3 linked regions of the Oryctolagus cuniculus genome follow. The protein of the gene in region 3 purifies or fractionates together with the protein of the main gene of each other region. This does not show direct contact. Links are inferred from orthologs where the notes say so. Each region holds a gene or a part of one and is shown on either strand. Other genes may lie near its edges. The genes, in order: AKAP8, PRKACB and PRKAR2A.

Evidence for each region.
Region 1: the proteins of PRKAR2A (region 3) and AKAP8 purify together in Homo sapiens (affinity purification with western blotting; 3 studies listed by BioGRID and IntAct, with this or other methods). This does not show direct contact. The link is inferred for Oryctolagus cuniculus from reciprocal best matches to the Homo sapiens genes PRKAR2A and AKAP8.
Region 2: the proteins of PRKAR2A (region 3) and PRKACB purify together in Homo sapiens (affinity purification with mass spectrometry; 6 studies listed by BioGRID and IntAct, counting the BioPlex papers as one, with this or other methods). This does not show direct contact. The link is inferred for Oryctolagus cuniculus from reciprocal best matches to the Homo sapiens genes PRKAR2A and PRKACB.

What each region holds. Positions count from the first base shown.
Region 1 is NC_091447.1:61,519,076-61,525,280, forward strand, and holds the start of AKAP8 (A-kinase anchor protein 8), read left to right. Parts: upstream 1-2,508; 5' UTR 2,509-2,750; coding exon 2,751-2,769; intron 2,770-2,978; exon of another isoform or gene 2,979-3,647; intron 3,648-4,625; coding exon 4,626-4,664; intron 4,665-5,473; coding exon 5,474-5,512; intron 5,513-5,900; coding exon 5,901-6,165; intron 6,166-6,205. Other genes in the region: AKAP8L (A-kinase anchor protein 8-like), read left to right, coding at 1,756-1,851, 1,925-2,194. UniProt on the Homo sapiens protein: Anchoring protein that mediates the subcellular compartmentation of cAMP-dependent protein kinase (PKA type II).
Region 2 is NC_091438.1:87,044,491-87,050,216, forward strand, and holds part of PRKACB (cAMP-dependent protein kinase catalytic subunit beta), read right to left. Parts: intron 4,002-5,726; coding exon 3,837-4,001; intron 1,389-3,836; coding exon 1,263-1,388; 3' UTR 1-1,262. UniProt on the Homo sapiens protein: Mediates cAMP-dependent signaling triggered by receptor binding to GPCRs.
Region 3 is NC_091441.1:100,343,874-100,349,599, reverse strand, and holds part of PRKAR2A (cAMP-dependent protein kinase type II-alpha regulatory subunit), read right to left. Parts: intron 1,069-5,726; coding exon 967-1,068; intron 806-966; coding exon 731-805; intron 1-730. UniProt on the Homo sapiens protein: Regulatory subunit of the cAMP-dependent protein kinases involved in cAMP signaling in cells. Type II regulatory chains mediate membrane association by binding to anchoring proteins, including the MAP2 kinase.

The sequences.
Region 1 (6,205 bases), on a different chromosome or scaffold from region 3:
TGATGATGCCCTCTTAGCAGCGTGCAGAAGGGTTGTCCATCTTCTCCCCACGTAGCAGAAGACACACGCACCTAGAAAAAGGGAGTAGGGGGTGCAGCAGCCTGATTTATGGCTTTCTGAGACATCCATAGAGCTGGCTAGTGCTCTGTAGGGGTCCCGGAGGCAGGTGTGTGCTCTAGCTCCCTCGTTCCCATTCTGCCCCTGGCTTTCTGGTGATGACAGTGAGATGTGCCTGGACTCCCAACCACAGAGGAAATGACACGGGTCAGTGTGCATCCTTCCAGAGCCACTGGGGGCAAGTCACAACCACTGCCCTGTCACTCACCTTTCTTATGCCAGTGGACACATGAGCCCGATTTTAGGGGCTTGCGCAGTGTGCTTTTGAGTGTCTGATGTAATCATTTCCTCCACCAAAGAACATTCCAGTGCTTTCCAGTTTTTCATCACCATATAACTATTGTGCATGCATTTCCCGAATTTCTTTTTTCTTTCGACCTATTCATTTGAAAAGAGTGACACAGAGGGGGTGAGAGAGTGCTTCCATCTGCTGGTTTATTCCCCAAAAATGGCCATAAGAGCTGGGGCTGGGCCAGGCCAAAGCCAGGAGCCTGGAACTCCCATCTGGGCCTCTACGTAAATGGCAGTGACCCAAGGACTTGGGCCATGTCCTGCTGCTTTCCCCAGGCGCATTAGCCAGGAGCTGGATCAGAAGTGGAGCAGCGGGGACTTGAACCAGCACTCATTCGGGATGCCAGCATTGTAGGCAGTGACTCCATGTTTTCAGTTCTGTTTAAAGAGTTATTCATCTATTTATTTTGTTTATGTAAAAGGCAGAGTTACAGAGTGAGGAGAGACAGATGTTCCATCTGCTGGTTCACTCCCAGTTGGCCAGAACAGTCAGGGCTGGGCCAGGCTGAAGCCAGGAGCCAGGAGCTTCTTCTGGATCTCCCACATGGGTGCAGTGGCCCCAGCACTTGGGGGCCATCTCTGCTGCTTTCCCAGGCTGTAGCAGAGAGCTGGGTCAGAAGTGGAGTAGCTGGGTCTCGAACTGGTGCCCATATGGGATGCTGGCATCACAGGCGAAGGTTTAACCTGCTACACCACAGCGCCGGCCCATGTTTTCAGTTCTTAAACTTAGGATAAGTTCTGGAAAGGGGTTGAAACAAATTTTTACTTTAAAAAAAAAAAAAAACTTATGTGAAAGGCCGTGTGACAGAGACAGGGAGAGACAGAAAAGAGGGACCTTGTATCCACTGGTTCACTCCTCAGGGACCTGCAGCAGCCAGGGCTGGGCCAGGCCAAAACCAAGAGCCCAGAGAGCCACCTGGGCCTCCTGGTGGGTGGTGGGCCGTGGTCTGCCTCCCAGGTGCGTTAGCTGACCCCAGGCTCTGCAGCGCGGGATGAGTGGCCTCACGCACTGCACCGCGCTGCGGCTCGCGCCGCATTTAGCTCTTCAAGACTGGAACCCTGTGGGTTATGGTCGCTGGAGCTCACTGGCCTTGGACATGGGTGTTCCTGGCTTTCTGCTCTGTCGATGCTGAAGGCCTCTGCGCGGATCGGGACCTGTGGCTCCTCGTTGTGTGGGTTGTGCACGTGTGGGTTAGAAAGCTTCTGTGTGATTCCTGCAAGTCAGGGCCGAGCTCTGTAGGTGACCCTTGATCCCAGTAAGTATGACGGCCAGGCAGAGTGGGGCAGCGCAGAGCGGGCGGGCAGGCGCCCGGACAGCGTCTCCAGCCCTGCCCGCCCTGCCCGCAGCTCATGATGGAGCAGTCCAAGAAGTCCTCGCTCATGGTGGCCCGCAGCATCCTCAACAACAAGCTCATCAGCAAGAAGCTGGAGCGCTACCTGAAGGTAAGGCGCCGCCCGGCCCCGCCCCGCCCCGCCCCGGCCCCGGGCCCCGCCTCACTGCCCGCGCTCCCTGCAGGGTGAGAACCCCTTCACCGACAGTCCCGAGGAGGACCGAGAGCAGGACGAGGCCGAAGGGACGCCGGGCGACGCGGAGGCCGCGCCGGCGCAGCCCCCGGTGCCCCCGGAGCCGAACCCTGGCGCCGCGTCGCCGCCGCCGCCGCCGCCTCCCCCGGAGGAGGAGGAGGAAGGCGAGCCCCTCCTCGGCGGGGCCCTGCAGCGCCAGATCCGCGGCATCCCGGGGCTCGACGTGGAAGACGACGAGGAGGGAGGCGGGGGCGCCCCGTGACGCGGGCCCAGGGCGGGCAGGGCCTGCGTGGCCAAGGCTGGAAGTCAAGTCGAATAAAGTTCTTCCCACCCAAGTCCTAGTCGGCCTGTCAGTGTGCGGGCGGGCGGCGGGCGGCGGGCGGCGGGCGGCGGGCGGCGGGCGGCGGGCGGCGGGCGGCGGGCGGCGGGCGGCGGGCGGCGGGCGGCGGGCGGCGGCGGGGGGGCGCAAACCACTCTCTGGGCGCCGGAGTAGGCTGCGCCTGCGCACGGGGGAGGTGCGAGTTGCGCCTGCGCGCCGGCGGCGGGCGGGGCGTGAAGTGCGCCTGCGTGTGGCCTGGGCCCCGAGACGCCGGAGTCCAACCACAATTCCCGAGAGGCTGCAGGCGCCAATCGCAAGCAACCCGGAAGGTTAGCTGGAACGGCCGTGGGCGTGTCTTCCGGAAGACCAGCCATTGGCAGCGCGCGAAGGGAGTGACGTGATACGTGACTTCCAGTAGCGGAAGGCGGGAGGTGCGTTGAACGCATGCGTCCTGTGGCAGCCTAGATAAAAGGGGCTGCTGGCGGGCCGCGTCGAAGACATGGAGCAAGGCTACGGAGGTCAGTACGAACTGCTCGGCGCGAGTCGGGGAGGGCAGGTGCCATCCGGGCGACGCAGCTGCCGCTGCGCAGAAGACCACGGGCCTGGCCTACGGGGCGAGCGCAGTTGCCCCAACGCAGCCCTGCCAGGAGGCGGCCGGGGCGCGCGCGCTGCTCATTGGGCCTTGGCGCCGTCTCTCCCGGGGCGCTGCGTGCCGATTGGCCAGCAAGCCCGAGGGGCGGGCGGCGCTTCGGGGGGCGCCGTGGGTCGTCCGGGCCGTTTTTTCCTCGCGGCGCAGCGGGAGCTCAGCCGGGCTTCGGCGACTCTAGTGCTCGCCGTCCCGCCGCCTCCTCCTCCTCTTCCTCCTCCCCTCCCCTTTACAGACGCCACAAAATGGCGGCTCCGGGGGCGGGGCCACGACGTGGGGTCCGGCCCGGGGGTGCTTGATCGACGGCTGGGGACCCGCCTTTCCCGGGCCCGCTGGGCTTGGTAGGGCCTTTGCTGAGCGTTGTGGCTGCGAGCACATCCGGTCTGCGCGGGGTCGGGTCTGTGGCCGGCCGGGCCCACCGCGGCCTCTGCAGGGGTTAGCCTCTCCGGGCGCAGCTGTGTGCTGGCCGAGGGGGGCGGAGGCGCCCCCGGACGAGACAGCCGGGGGACAGGCCGAGGAGTTTGGTGTGCGAAGCCGGGGTGCAGCAGCCCCTCATGGCGGCCTGGAGGGGCCTAGGGACCGTGTAGGAGCGGACGCGCCCCTTCCCGCTTGGCTTCAGCGCCTGCCTGCGGTGGAGCCGACCTCTTCGAGCTCCCCGCTCCTGTTCTCGGGAATCAGAACCTTCCGGGAGGCCTTTGCTCTGTTCCTGGGGCCGGGTTCACCCGCCAGAAACCCGTTGGAACTTGCACGGTAGGGCTGGGCCGGGGAGAGAAGCTGGGGGCGGGGGATGTGGGGACGGGTCTGACCTGGGCTGCGGCAGCTAAGGCAGGCGCGGGTCTCTAGAGGTGACAGAGTGGGGGGGTCCCTGCAGCAGGGATTGCAGAGGGTGGGGGTCTCTGAGCTGCAACCTTGTGTGCGTGTGCGTGCGCGCTTGGGTAACCATAGCGCCCTAGGGGAGGGCTCGGCCCGCTCCCTGAAGCCTGGCCTGGTCTCTCTGCCTTGTCTTCCTTCGCGCCAGACAGCTCCTGCCAGTAACGCCGTCCTCCCTTCGTGTAGGCTGGAGAGGTTTTTCTCTCCTGCGCGTCCTAGCTGCGGAGACTTTTTTGAGTCCCCCCCGGGTGGTGTTTTGAGGGATCAGGGCCCCGGAGGTCGGTCGGCTGCTGTTAGGGTCTGAGCACGGTGGGTCAGGAGAGGGCTCCGTCCGCAGTGGAGCGAGTCCCCGAGCTCCTGCCGCACAGTAGGGCATCCTGTGGGCGGCGGGACGTCTTGGAGGCGAGCGTGTCTGCTCATCAGAGTTGAAGTGCGGTGGTGGGCACGGGCTTGGGGGACGCAGGTGAGAAGCCAGCTCCCTGCCCCGGAGGCGGGGCCTGGAGGGTGACATTTCCCTGCTCTGAGTGGCCCTGGGGTCCTTCGGGGGAGCTGAGCCCTGCTCTTAGCTTGCTGGGTGTTGCAGACAGCTGTAGGCTCCTGCTCATCCTTGACTCGGGTTTGAGGCTTGGAGGGGCCTTGGAGCAGCTCTGACCTCTTCTCCCCTCCTCCCTCCTCTCCCTTCCCCTTCCACCCTCCCTTCTCCTGCCTTGAGGCCTGTCAGCCGGCTGTGGGACGGATCCTTAGGGGATGATGCTGGCAGCCATGGCTGTCTTCTCTGGAGGCCAGCACCTCCAGGTCCGGGTGTCCCGTGCGTGCGTGACGGCTGACGCGTTAACCCGCAGCATCTTTTGTTCACAGGCTACGGGGCGTGGAGTTCAGGGCCTGCCAGCAACCAGGGTGAGTGGGTCGAGGGGGAGATGGTCCCCCGGGGGTCTACAGAGCGCTCTGTGGCTGCTCAGGCAAAGGAGCTGACTAGACTGCAAGCCACCTGCTTTTCTTGTTTTGAACGGGCAGTGAAATTTGAATGTCATGGTTTTGGCGTGTCACGAGATGCCGTTTGTCACAGCAGGCTCTCTCTCAGGGCTGTGTGTGGTGGGAGTGTTCCCTGTCCTCTAATGGATCCTGTGTGCTGCCTAGTGCAGCTTTGGGTTTAGGGTTGAGCGGATGATACTCGAGTTCCCTGCTTCCGCCTCCCCCCACCCCCCAGTGGTGCGGGACATTTCCCCTGCGTGTGTGCGGGCTGACCCTGCCGAGGGGCCGCGGCGAGGTGCTCAGTGTGTCCGGAGGACGGGGAGTGCTCTGTCTGCTGCCGGCCCCTGATGCCTTCTGAGCCTGGGACCTGTCCCAGCACCCGCTGGGGACACATCGCGTTCCCTCGTTCAGTTGAGTTGAGGACGTGATTTTTTTCCATCAGAGGCTCCCCGGGGCGGACTGGCAGTGCCCGAGAGCTGGCCCTTTATCAGGCTCCGCTTGGCAGCCTGGCTGGCCTCCTGGCTGGTGGCCCACAGGAGACGGACAAGCTTCCTGGGGGTTGTGTGCACCAAAGCACCCTTTTCCCGGCCCGCTAATCAGGAGAGAAGCGCAGGTTCCGCTCAGCCTGGTTCTGTGGGTCTTGGGTGCAGTGCAGTCTTGTCTCCCTGGAGCTGGGTTGCTGGTGCCTTCAGCCTCCAAACGAGGCTCTCATGTGTCTTTCTGTTTCTCCTAAGGTGCATATGGAAGTGGGGCGACCAGCTGGGGGTCTGCAGGTGGGTGAGGGGCTGAGATGCACACCCCTCCTCCTTTCCCTGTCCCCCATCACCCGGGTGTCCCCCAGCCAGTGGGGATGTCTGGTGTGCTCCCCCTCCCCCCGCGAGCATGGTGCTGGAGCAGGGTCATGGGTGGGTTCCAGGAGCAGCAGGCTCTTGACAGCCCAGACTCCCATTTGTGGGGGACTCTGCCAACTAGGGCTTGATGGGGAGCCACTTCCCGCTCTGGCCACCTCTTGCTGACTCCTTGACAGCTGTGTGCCCACACCACGCCAGCAGTGCCTGGTCTCTGCCAGTCCTTTGCCTTCTAGGTGGGCGGTGGGTTCTCCTTCACTGCCAGGGCCTCGGGCCTGCCCAGGTCTGACCTGGGGCCTCTACCCTCTGACAGGTTACGACAACTACAGTTATTACGGGGCCCAGGGCGCCGGCGTCACCTCGGGATCATCCTACAACTACGGCCCAGGCTCGTCCTGGGAGGCCTCCAAGGGCCACGATGGGGGCCCTGCCATGCACATGTCCTCCTCTTTCGGGCCAGAGCCGTGCGACAGTTCTGACTCCCTCATTGCCAAGATCAACCAGCGTCTGAACATGATGTCCAAGGAAGGAGGCAGGGGCGGGAACAGCGGCGGGGAGGGCATGCAGGACCGGGAGAGGTGATTATGGCCCTGAGCCCTTCCCTGGGTGGGGGGGTTC
Region 2 (5,726 bases), on a different chromosome or scaffold from region 3:
ATGATTTATCTAAAAATATCATCCCTCAAAATTAAAATATAACTGTGGCAGTTTTATAAACTTTGTCCTTGTCCCCTTTCCTCTTTGATGAGACATGGGATAAAAGCAAAAGTTGCAACCATGCCCCTACCTTAGGCTTACAAATATAGCACACCAGAATAATAAGCTGGTGACAACTTCTTTTGTTCTTAACTATTACAAAACAAAACAAAACAAAACAAAAAGCTCATTTAAATAAGAGTACCTCTATACTATTTGCAAGAATCAAGTCATTTGTTTGACTTAGCAAAGTGTTTATCCAAACCAATGTTCTTTTTAGCTTGCTTCCTTCCCTGTAAAAACTTTACAATAGGGACTATTTGAGAAACTTCAAATATTGTCATTTTCACTAATCTTGTTCTATTAAAACAGCAGCTAAAACCCTTGAGGAAGAGGTAAGGTTTATAAGCCTTCAAGCCCTTCTGTAATACTTACAGAAATGCTGGTACCAAGTGAGAGAATTTGGGTGATGAGCCATATCATTAGAATTTGCTGCTGAAGGAGACACATTTGTCACAATGCACAGGGCTGGTTATTTCATTACTTAAGGGATAGAGGTGGGGGAGATAATATAAAAGGAAGCAAAGGGAAATAGAACCTCTGATTTATAGGAATCCAAATTGTTGGGTATAACTACTCAATATTAGTCTATCTAAATGCATTGCCAGAATAGTGAATTTCAAGGAAATTAAAATGAACTTCATTTATGCGAATGTCTTGGGTGGTAAGACATTATTCAATTAAAGAATTGTCTAGAGTTTTGGCAAAACTGAGTTTGAGCTGATCAAACAAAAACAATTACTAGAAAGTTCATCTTCAGGCCATTTACCAACAAAAACATTGGCAAGAACTACTAAAAGCAACAGTTGTCCTGCCCTTCAGAGATTGTGTAGCCATAACACTGTGCACCTGAAACACCAGCAAGATAAAATGCAGTGCTGTTTGGAGGAAAACTAATGAAAAAGAAGGAGGAGAAGAAAAAGACAAACCAAGAAAAGTAGTCTAGTACTGTGTTATGGCACAGGAAATGCTTACTTAGCGGTGCCTTTTTACATAGGTGGATGCAGAGTGCACACACAGATGACAGCAATAAAGACCTCACTCAGTCGCTGGAATGAAGGAACTAGGTAACTGCTTCAACAAGGAGGGTCTCAGCTCCACCTTGTCTCTCACCAGAGTGCAAAGATTGAGTGTGAGCTCTGATCGCCTCTTGTTATCCCTCTCTAAAATTCACAAAATTCTTTCGCACATTTTTCTGTTATAGAGACACGGATATCTTCTTCTTCATAGTCATCAAAGTTGCTGGTATCTCCAGAGCCTCTGAACTTTGGTATGAATGGAGCTTCAACCTACATAATTGGGATAGAGAGGAAAATAAGAGGAAAACTAAATTCCTGAGAGTTTGTAAACACTAAGGAAAATAAATTTCCACTCTTAATAACTGGTGGCATCTTTGAATGCCGTTAAATCCCTAAAATATATTGGCATCAGAAGAAGGAGCAAACAGTAGATTTGCTGTTTAACTCATCATTTTCATTCAAGGAATATAACAACATTGAGACATTCCTAGGATAATTAATTGTTGGCATCAAAATGTAGGCTCCTAAGATTACAGAATTCCAGTTTTTTCCTTTATTATTTATGTTCAAAGACTTTATTTTTCTATCCTCACTTTTATATTCCTTTCTTCTGAAGCTGACAGATAAATCTTAGACTTTCTTTTAATTGCCTTCCTTTTTTAATTTCCAAGTTTATTTTAATTATCTGTCTACATAAATGTGCAACTGTCATAAGTTGGAAAGAAATGTATCTCTTTTGGAATTATAGAACTGCTAAATCTTAAATGTTTTTCTCCTTTCAGATCCTGAAAGTAAACTGTCTTTCCACCATTCAGAGTATGGTCTTTCACAAAGATTATGTGGTATAATGAAAACATTTGAGGAAACTATTTAAAAGCTACAAACATAATAACACAATTTTCACAATCCTTACTGAATTTACAATTACACATACAATTTTTTCATTTCTTCTTCAGTACCACATTATGAAGAAGGCAGAGCAGGTATATTTTATTCTTATTTGTAAAAATCATAAAACAGAGTTGGCCAAAATCACATGACTAGTAGGAGGCTAAAGCAAGTCTCAAACTCATAATTTTCTACTTCTGGATCAGAGCTCTTTCTATTACGTATGTCAGTGGTTTCCAAATCTTTTTGATTTCTATCTCTTTCAGTAAAATAGTTCCTAGCACACATTATCAATATTTGTATAGTTATTTATTTATACATTATTCACATGGTTGACCATATAATATAAGATAAACACAGAAATATGACATTTTAAAAGAATAAAGTGAAAATAAATTGGAATGGAAATTCAAGTATCTTTATTTTTCAGCTGATTATCTTGCACCCATTGCTTTGGGGACTGCTGTTTTGTTCTAGAAGAATGAGTTAAACAGACAGTTGCCTCATGTCTAGCCAGACAACAATTTAGGATTCTACTTTTGGGCAATCATCTCTAGAGAGTGACTGTACAGTTTGAGTCATCTAGGCCATTTCTTTCTTTCTTTCTCTCTCTCTCTTTATCATCGTTCTCCTAGATTCATTTGGCTATTTCACATTCATGAACACTGGATCACAAAATAAAAACCATGACAACCATTCAAATTTACTATCTTTTTATTTTTTGCACTGCTGTGCATTCTTATAGTTGAGAAGATATTAAAACAAATGGCCAAATTAAAGTACTGGATTATTTCTATTTGTAAATCACCCAGGGATCCTAGCGTCTATTTTGTTAATCAAGATTTTGCTGTTATTAAACAAATTATCTAATTTGAACTATAATGAAGCATATCTCAACCAGAACTCAAAGGGAGCTTGGCTAATCTGTCTGATCTTTCTTCCCCAAACTACTCTTCCATCTTAAAGGTGATTAAATTGATGCTTTACAGAAGTTAAATTATTTGTTTAAGATTATAACAATAATGCTTGGTTGATCTGGGACTGAACCTCAGAGTTTATGCTCTTTTTTAACAGCCTTTTGAGAAAGAGTCTTCCTACCCTCAAGGGTCAATATGTGGAAGTCAAGCAGATGATATGAAAATTTTATGAAACAATGTATTGTGCAGTGGTTTGGAGCATCATTTGATCATGTTAAAAGGACTTTAAATGGGTAATGTGGCTCTGGGAATAGGAATCTGAAGAAAGCAAGATCAAAGATAGGCATCATTCAGTAGTTATAAGATTTTTACATTAAGTAACCTTTCTGAGTTGATTTTCTGATTAGTAAAATGAAGAAAATGGTACCACCCATTTCAAAGAATACTTTAAGGATTAATATGAAAAGTTAAAGGCAGTCGCTTTCAGTCATTATAAAGTATTGCATTGATGCTAACAATTATAGAAAAAATACAAAAATATGAAATTCTTTTTATGACAACTAAAGATTATTTTAAATTACTATGGACCCTGTTCTTGACTACATAGCATATCCATTTGTAATAACAATGTTAACAGATATGTTTCCTGAATGGTTGGAGAGTGAACTACTTTTTTGAGAAATAGAGGTTGTACTGCATTTACATTGTTTAGGTCTTGTTATTTCTTCTGTATGTTGCACTTAAAATTCTTTTACTGCTTTGTTTTTTCAATCTTTTATAAAAGTATCAATTACGAAGATACAAAAAATGTGCTTTTGATACTCAGCTAGAATATTAACATTTTCTCACTCTAATATGTGAAGTTGAAAATACTTCTACATATAATTAAACACCAACTTTTAAAAAGTCTTACCTTCCTCTGGTAAATAGCAATCCAATCTGTTGTGGCAAACCATTTGTGAGTTTTTATGTCACTCACACCATTCTTTAGATTTCCAAATCGTTTCGTCAAATCCACTTGCAGTAGGTTCCTTAGAAGATCTTTGAGATCTGAACTGAAGTGGGATGGGAATCGGACCTACACAAACACGTCAAATGATAAAACACAAATTCCAAAACTCATGATATTTCTATTTTGATTTCACATTTTTTAAAGGTAGCAGGGCATTATATTAACAAAATTGTTTAATGACAACTTCAAATGCTTTTAAGTAAAAGTCACAGTCCCTATAGTAGTCTTTTTTATAGAAAGCTTTTATTTAATAAATATAAATTTCCTAAGTATAACTTTTGGATTATAGCAGTTCTTCTCCCCATACCTTCCCTCCCACCCCCAAACAATCCCATCTCCTACTCCCTCTCCCATCCCATTCTTCATTAAGATTCATTTTTAATTATCTATATATACAGAAGATCAACTCTATACTAAGTAAAGATTTCAACAGTTTGCACCCACACAGACACACAAAGTATATAGTACTGTTTGAAGACTAGTTTTACTGTTAATTCTCATAGTACAACACATTAAGGACAGAGGTCCTACATGGGGAGCAAGTGCACAGTGACTCCTGTTGTTGATTTAACAATTGACACACCCTACAGTAGTCTTAAAGTAGAGAATTATTTGTGTGAATGAACTAAAACTGTTCCCTTAGTGTCTTGTTTTGGTCATAAATTCCCTTTTAGAACATGGAGCAGTCTCCAGGAAAATGTGCACATATTTAGAACTTTTCCAACAATATCAGTATGTTCACCCATTGTCAAGAGAGAGCTCCCTTGTCTCAGAGATGTGAGAACTGAAACTTGTTCTATACAAATAGAGCAAGCAGCATATGAAACAAATCAGCATGTACATTTTGAAGAGATCTACCAAAAAAGAAGTCTAAAAATGTTTGTAAAAACCCACACTCTTTCAAAGCACAGGGAACTATTTTTCATTTATTATAGATGGTTTTTAAGTATAACTCTGCTATTATGCAATAGTATAAAAATTATGAGAATTAACTGGGAGATAATATTGTAAAAATGCAGTTCCTGGGGCTTACCTTAAACAATGAGGACATTGAGTCTAAAATCTGAGCTTTTATCTTCAAATGATTCGTATATACATGCAAACTGAAGAAACACTATTCTCAACTCTATTCAATACTAACTCCTCAGTACTTTATGTAGAGATTTTGTTCTTTTTTTTTTAAACTAATACAACCTATAAAATTTTAAATGGAAATAATAAACTGAAACCATCATCATAACAGAGGAAAATTCACATTAGGAGAGAGAGAGGGAGTAGAGAAGGGAAAGGTGAGAGTAATGGAGAGAGTTAGGGAGAGGGGAGGGGAGAGAGTTCCCATCTGCTGGTTCACCACCCAAATGTCTGCAATACCCAAGGCTAGGTTTAACTGAAGCTGGGAGTCAGAACCTCAAATCAGGTATCCCACGTAGGTGGCAGGAACCCAATTACTTGAGCTATCACTTATGTCTCCCATGGCCTGCTTTAGCAGGAATTTGTAGGAGTGGGGTATCTAACTCAGATACTCTGATATGGGAGATGGGCTTCTAATTCAGCAAATTAACCACTAGGCTAAATCCCTGCACCTGTACTTTTAATTTTTTCTATACTGCTTCCATTATGCAATAACCTGAAAAGAGCTATTTCCAGGAAACATCTTAAAGGTTGACATTTTCATCATAAAAATATTTTGCTGTACATTTCCTTATTTATTTATTTTTTTGACAGGCAGAGTGGACAGTGAGAGAGACAGAGAGAAAGGTCTTCCTTTGCCGTTGGTTCACCCTCCAATGG
Region 3 (5,726 bases):
GTGTGCTGCGGCCGGCGCACCATGCTGATCCGAAGCCAGGAGCCAGGTGCTTCTCCTGGTCTCCCATGCGGGTGCAGGGCCCAAGGACCTGGGCCATCCTCCACTGCACTCCCTGGCCACAGCAGAGAGCTGGCCTGGAAGAGGAGCAACCGGGACAGAATCTGGTGCCCCGACCGGGACTAGAACCTGGTGTGCCAGCGCCACAGGCGGAGGATTATAGGCTGCTCCACTTTCAGTCCAGTTCCCTGCTAATGCGCTTGGGCAAGCAACTGAAGATGGCCCAGTGCTTGGGCCTCTGTACCTATGTGAGAGACTTAGAAGCAGCTCTGGGCTTCTGGCTTCTGCTTGGCCCAGCCCTGGTCATTGTGGCCATCTGGGGAGTGAACCAGCATTGCAGGACCTCTCTGTCTCTCTCTAACTCTGCCTTTCAAATAAAATAATAGTAACCAAAAAAAAAGTCTCTCTCTCTTAAAAAAAAAAAAAAAAAAAAAAAAAAAAAAAGAACATAAGAAGCTAAAAAAAAAAAAAAGTGAATGGAAGCAAGAGATCTACATCAGTCAATCAGATGGACCATCAGCAGGCTTCAAAGCACTCTGCAGGAGCTACGACCTAGTTCCTCCAACGTGAGCTCCCACTGTTGGGAACTCACAGACATCTTAAGAGACAAAAGTGATGTGCTTGTTTTCAAGTGGTGACTTCAGGAAAGGAGCTGGGCAGGGCCTCTGCTTACCTGAGTGATTATGCGTTCTCCATCCTTATAGACCTTCTCTCCGATGACATCCACAATCTTCATTCGTTCCGATACCTGAAACAACAGACACACAAATCATAAGGAAAAGACCTTAACTGAAAGTTACACTACTTATACAACACAGAAATGGGCTAGAATAATATGATTTGAAAACTTAGTAACAGATAGCTTCTCTCTCCCCACCATAAAAAGACTCTTACTCAAATAGATTTTACCTCTAGTGATTTAAGGAGGGGCACAGACTCAATAAACGATTCAAACATCTTCCTTTTTTTTGCATTGTTTTTCACTATGATTCTTCTAAAAGTCACCCGGTCCTATAAGAAAGAAAATGAAAAATCTAGTAAATGCCTGTGTAAGACAATGTCCACGGTTTAGTTAACTGGGACACGTCAATTGTTAGATTATGTAAGTTATTGTGTCAACTGAGTGTTTAATGATACTTCAATTCCAGAGTAGTCAATGGAAGAAAAAGACTTGTAGCCTAAGCCAGACAAATGCCCGACACACTGCTGCTTGCTATCTAGTGTTCAATGGGTGCCACCTGTGGGTCACAAACAGACCACAAAACAAAGAATTCCCAATCAAACATTGGGGAGCTCACAGTCATTGTTTAAAATCAAAAGACAGCCGGCCGGCGCCGCGGCTCACTAGGCTAATCCTCTGCCTAGCGGCGCCGGCACACCAGGTTCTAGTCCCGGTTGGGGCGCCGGATTCTGTCCCGGTTGCCCGTCTTCCAGGCCAGCTCTCTGCTGTGGCCAGGGAGTGCAGTGGAGGATGGCCCAGGTGCTTGGGCCCTGCACCCCATGGGAGACCAGGATAAGCACCTGGCTCCTGGCTCCTGCCATCGGATCAGCGCGGTACGCCGGCCGCAGCGCACCGGCCGCGGCGGCCATTGGAGGGTGAACCAACGGCAAAAGGAAGACCTTTCTCTCTGTCTCTCTCTCTCACTGTCCACTCTGCCTGTCAAAAAAAAAAAAAAAAAAAAAAAGACAGCCTTCCAAAAAAAGGAAGGAATAAAAAACTAGATGGTTCTTGAGTACAAGGACTTCACCATCTTAATCATGAGACAACACAAAACACACAGGAATAAAGAGTCTACAGTTCAAGGCAGCATATGAAATACACTAGGTGAAGCTACAGAAGGCAAGCATCACAAGAATTTGAGATGGGAGGGAGATCACAGTAAGCAGGAATGATTGAAGACAGTTTTGTAGCAAAAATATAAATTTGGGATCTGAAGGATGAGTAGTTTTAAATTAATGAAAAGATAGGGGAGGATACTCAAAATGGAAGGCAGACATATAAAAGGTACCTTGACCCCAGTAAAGTCATGGATTCTGATTAGGAGACAGTAAATCAGAGCTACCTAGAGCCAGGCACTTTTCAGACACGTGTGAACATAGGTGGGGAGAGACACATGGACAGGAAAATGTTAACTGCTTAGTCTCAGGCTTCTAAATGGGTGAACAGTCATTTGGACCCAAGTTAGCTATTCCTTTTTCCTACACAGGCTGTCAAGAATGGAAAGTTTTCTTTTGGAAACTATAAAAATACCCTAAAGGCTGGAAAAGTAAAGCAGCAGCAAGGGAGTAAGGGCCTATTTCACTGTAGGTTCCTGATGCTGGAGCGGTTGTGGGGTAAAGACAGCACATAACAGACAACTGGGCGCAACATCTGAATGGACTTCACTGGCTCATTTTCTATCAGCTGTAGAATTCCCAGGTCCTATCCTGTGCCACGTTTCACCCACATAAACAGAGAAGTCACCTACACTCCTAGTGTGGGCAGTGGTAGAATCCTACTCTCCCTACTTACACGGCTGTACAAATAAGGTCTGCTTTCTGGTACTTAGGCAGATTCTGTCCCATTTTCCCCCAATATACTTGGAACGAGCCATTCAATCTCTAGTCGCTCTGTTGTGGCTGCATCATCTACCATGGATTTTCTGAAGTCGAGGATAAAGATGTATTATTTAAAATGTTACTTTTATACTTTGGAATATTGGCCAATCTAGGCCAGGAATGTTATGGAAAGAGAACAATTAAGACAGAAAATGAGAATTATAAAGCCCCTTTCCTTATGCTTGAATAGGCATGTCAAAAAATAATATTTATAAATCCATTTATAATGTTACAAATATTATAATAATTTCAATAGCAAGTTGCATTTCTATCTAAGGAGAAAAACAACAGATATCTCTTAAAAATTATTTGAAAAGCAGAGTGATAAAGAAGTAGAGAGAGGAGGGAAAAGATCTTCTGTCTGCTGGTGCAGTTACCAAATGCTTTCTAAGGCTGGGGCTTGACTCAGGATCTGGAACTCCATGCAAGTTTCCCATGTGGGTGGCAGGAACCCAAGTACTTGGGCCATCATTCGCTACCTTTCCAGGTAGCAGGAATCTGAATCAGAAGCAAAGTAGCTGGGACTCCAACAAGCACAATCCAACATGGAATGTCAGTGTCTGAAGAGGCAGCTTAAGTCACTGTACCACATAGCCAATCCCAGAGTATCCTGCAGATTTATCCATTCATTTTCCAATCCCTCCTATGCATGTTTTCACACACTTCCCAGAACTCTCTATTCATATCATGCAAGGCCAATTCTTGTAGCTATGGAAGGTTAAAAACAACAACAACAATAACAACAAAACAGCACCAGACACCAACTCAGCCTTTGGAGAGCTCCCAGTGGGGCACTGCAGGTGAACTTTCAGAGACAGCAGGTGCTCAGAGGCAAGCAAACCACCTGAAAGTTTGAAAAGAAAAGGAGTGCCACCCCCTCTTGTAACTACAAGCGTTCCTTAGGGAAGCTTCTACTGACCTCCACTCGAGCAGGAGCAGAAACTGACTAGTGCCCACAGTGGCAGCTATTCCCTGTCAAAGAAGGAATACAGGATCCAAGTGGAGAAACTCAGTGACAATACCCAGTCCACCTGGCCTTAGCTTCATTAGGCATTTCCAAGGTCTTCCCAGGCATGAGTGAAGAAGTCCGGCTGGAGAGGATCCTCTGGGAGCAACTTTTCTAGAAGTGGTACTCAAGCTTTGGGAGAGTCTGACATTGTGAAGCAAGTGAATGAAGCAGAACAAAAAGCAGAAGAGCATCCTGATGGGTTATTGGCCTTAATTAAGACAGCAGGGAGGGGCCGGTGCCGTGGCTCACTTGGTTAATCCTCTGCCTTGCAGCGCCAGCATCCCATATGGATGCCAGGTTCTAGTCCTGGTTGCTCCTCTTCCAGTCCAGCTCTCTGCTGTGGCCTGGGAGGGCAGTGGAGGATGGCTCAAGTGCTTGGGCTCCTGCAACCACATGGGAGACCAGGAAGAAGCTCCTGGCTCCTGGCTTCAGATCGGTGCAGTGCCGGCCATGGGGGCCATTTGGGAAGTGAACCAATGGAAGGAAGACCTTTCTCTCTGTCTCTCTGTCTATAACTCTACCTGTCAAAAAAAAAAAAAAAAAAAAAAAAAAAAAAAAAGACAGCAGGGAAAGGAAGAAAAAACTTCAAAGGATAAGCATAGGAAGAAGAAAACTAGGGCAGAAGTCATAGGAGAATTTTCAGAGAGGGCTAGTGAGGAGCACCACGCCATGGGGATTTGCTAGTTCATGTTGTTAAGTTCTGTATCATTGCTAGTTTTCCGTCTGGTAGTTTCAACAACTGTTGACAGCTGGGTGTTGAAATCTCCATCCTCTGTAACTGTGGATGTCTGCTTTTCTTTTCTATGTTATCAGTTTTTGCTTTACATATTTTGGAACTATTATTTGGTGTGTATGTGTATTTACAATTGCTGTATCTTCTTGGTAGAATAGTCCTTTCTTCTTCTTTTTTTTTTTTTTAATTTTTATTTATTTGAAAGACATAGTTACAGAGAGAGAGAGAGAGAGAGAGAAAGAGAGAGGTCTTCCATCCGCTGGTTCATTTCCCAGATGACCTCAACGGCCAGAGCTGAGCTGAACTGAAGCCAAGAGCCAGCAGCTTCTTCCAGGTCTCCCATGCGGAAGCCCAAGGACTTGGGCCATCTTCCATTGCTTTCCCAGCCATAGCAGAGACCTGGATCAGAAGTAGAGCATCCAGGACTGGAACCTGTGCCCAAATGGGATGCTGGCGCTGCAGGCTGGGGTTTAACCTGCCATGCCACGGCACTGGCCCCTGGCCCTTTCATTATTATATATTTATTTTGGCCCTGTGATTTTCTTTACTCTGATGCCTATTCTATCTGATATTAATATAATCTCTCCTCTTTTCAACAGTCCAGTCTCCAAATCACCACAATGGCTACAAGGGGCTGAACTGAAGGCATGAGTTGGGAATTCAATCCAGGTCTTCTACTCGAGGCCAAAATCCGCACAAGCAGGAAGCTAGAGTCACAGCTAAATATTAAACCCAGGGACTGAACACGAATTGTGGGAGTCTTAAGTGGCACCTAAACTTCAAGAAAAAATGCCTGCTCAATTCCCCTGGTTTTTTAAATCTTTGTTTCACTTTTACTGCCTTCCTGTAAGTTATCTGAATAATTTTTATAGTTCTACTTGAATTACAGAGCTTCTAAGTACATCTCTTTGTATAGATGTTTTAGTGGTTGTTCTAGGTATTAGATTACACGCGTGTAACTCACTGTACTGGTGTCAACACTTACTAATTTAATTGTAAAAGCTTTATTTCCATTTAGGCCGCCTTATTCTCCCCTTTACAGTATAATTATCTTAAATATTTTCCTATATACATTGAGAATAGGTAATAATAGCAGATAATATCATAATTCTTATTTCAATCCTTCAACAAAATTTAGAAACCTCAAGGGGATAGTCTTTTTTTTTTTTTTTTTTTTTTGATAGGCAGATTGGACAATGAGAGAGAAAGAGAGACAGAGAGAAAAGTCTTCCTTTTCCGTTGGTTCACCCCACAATGGCCGCTGCGGCCGGTGCGCTGTGGCCGGCGCACCATGCTGATCCGAAGCCAGGAGCCAGGTGCTTCTCCTGG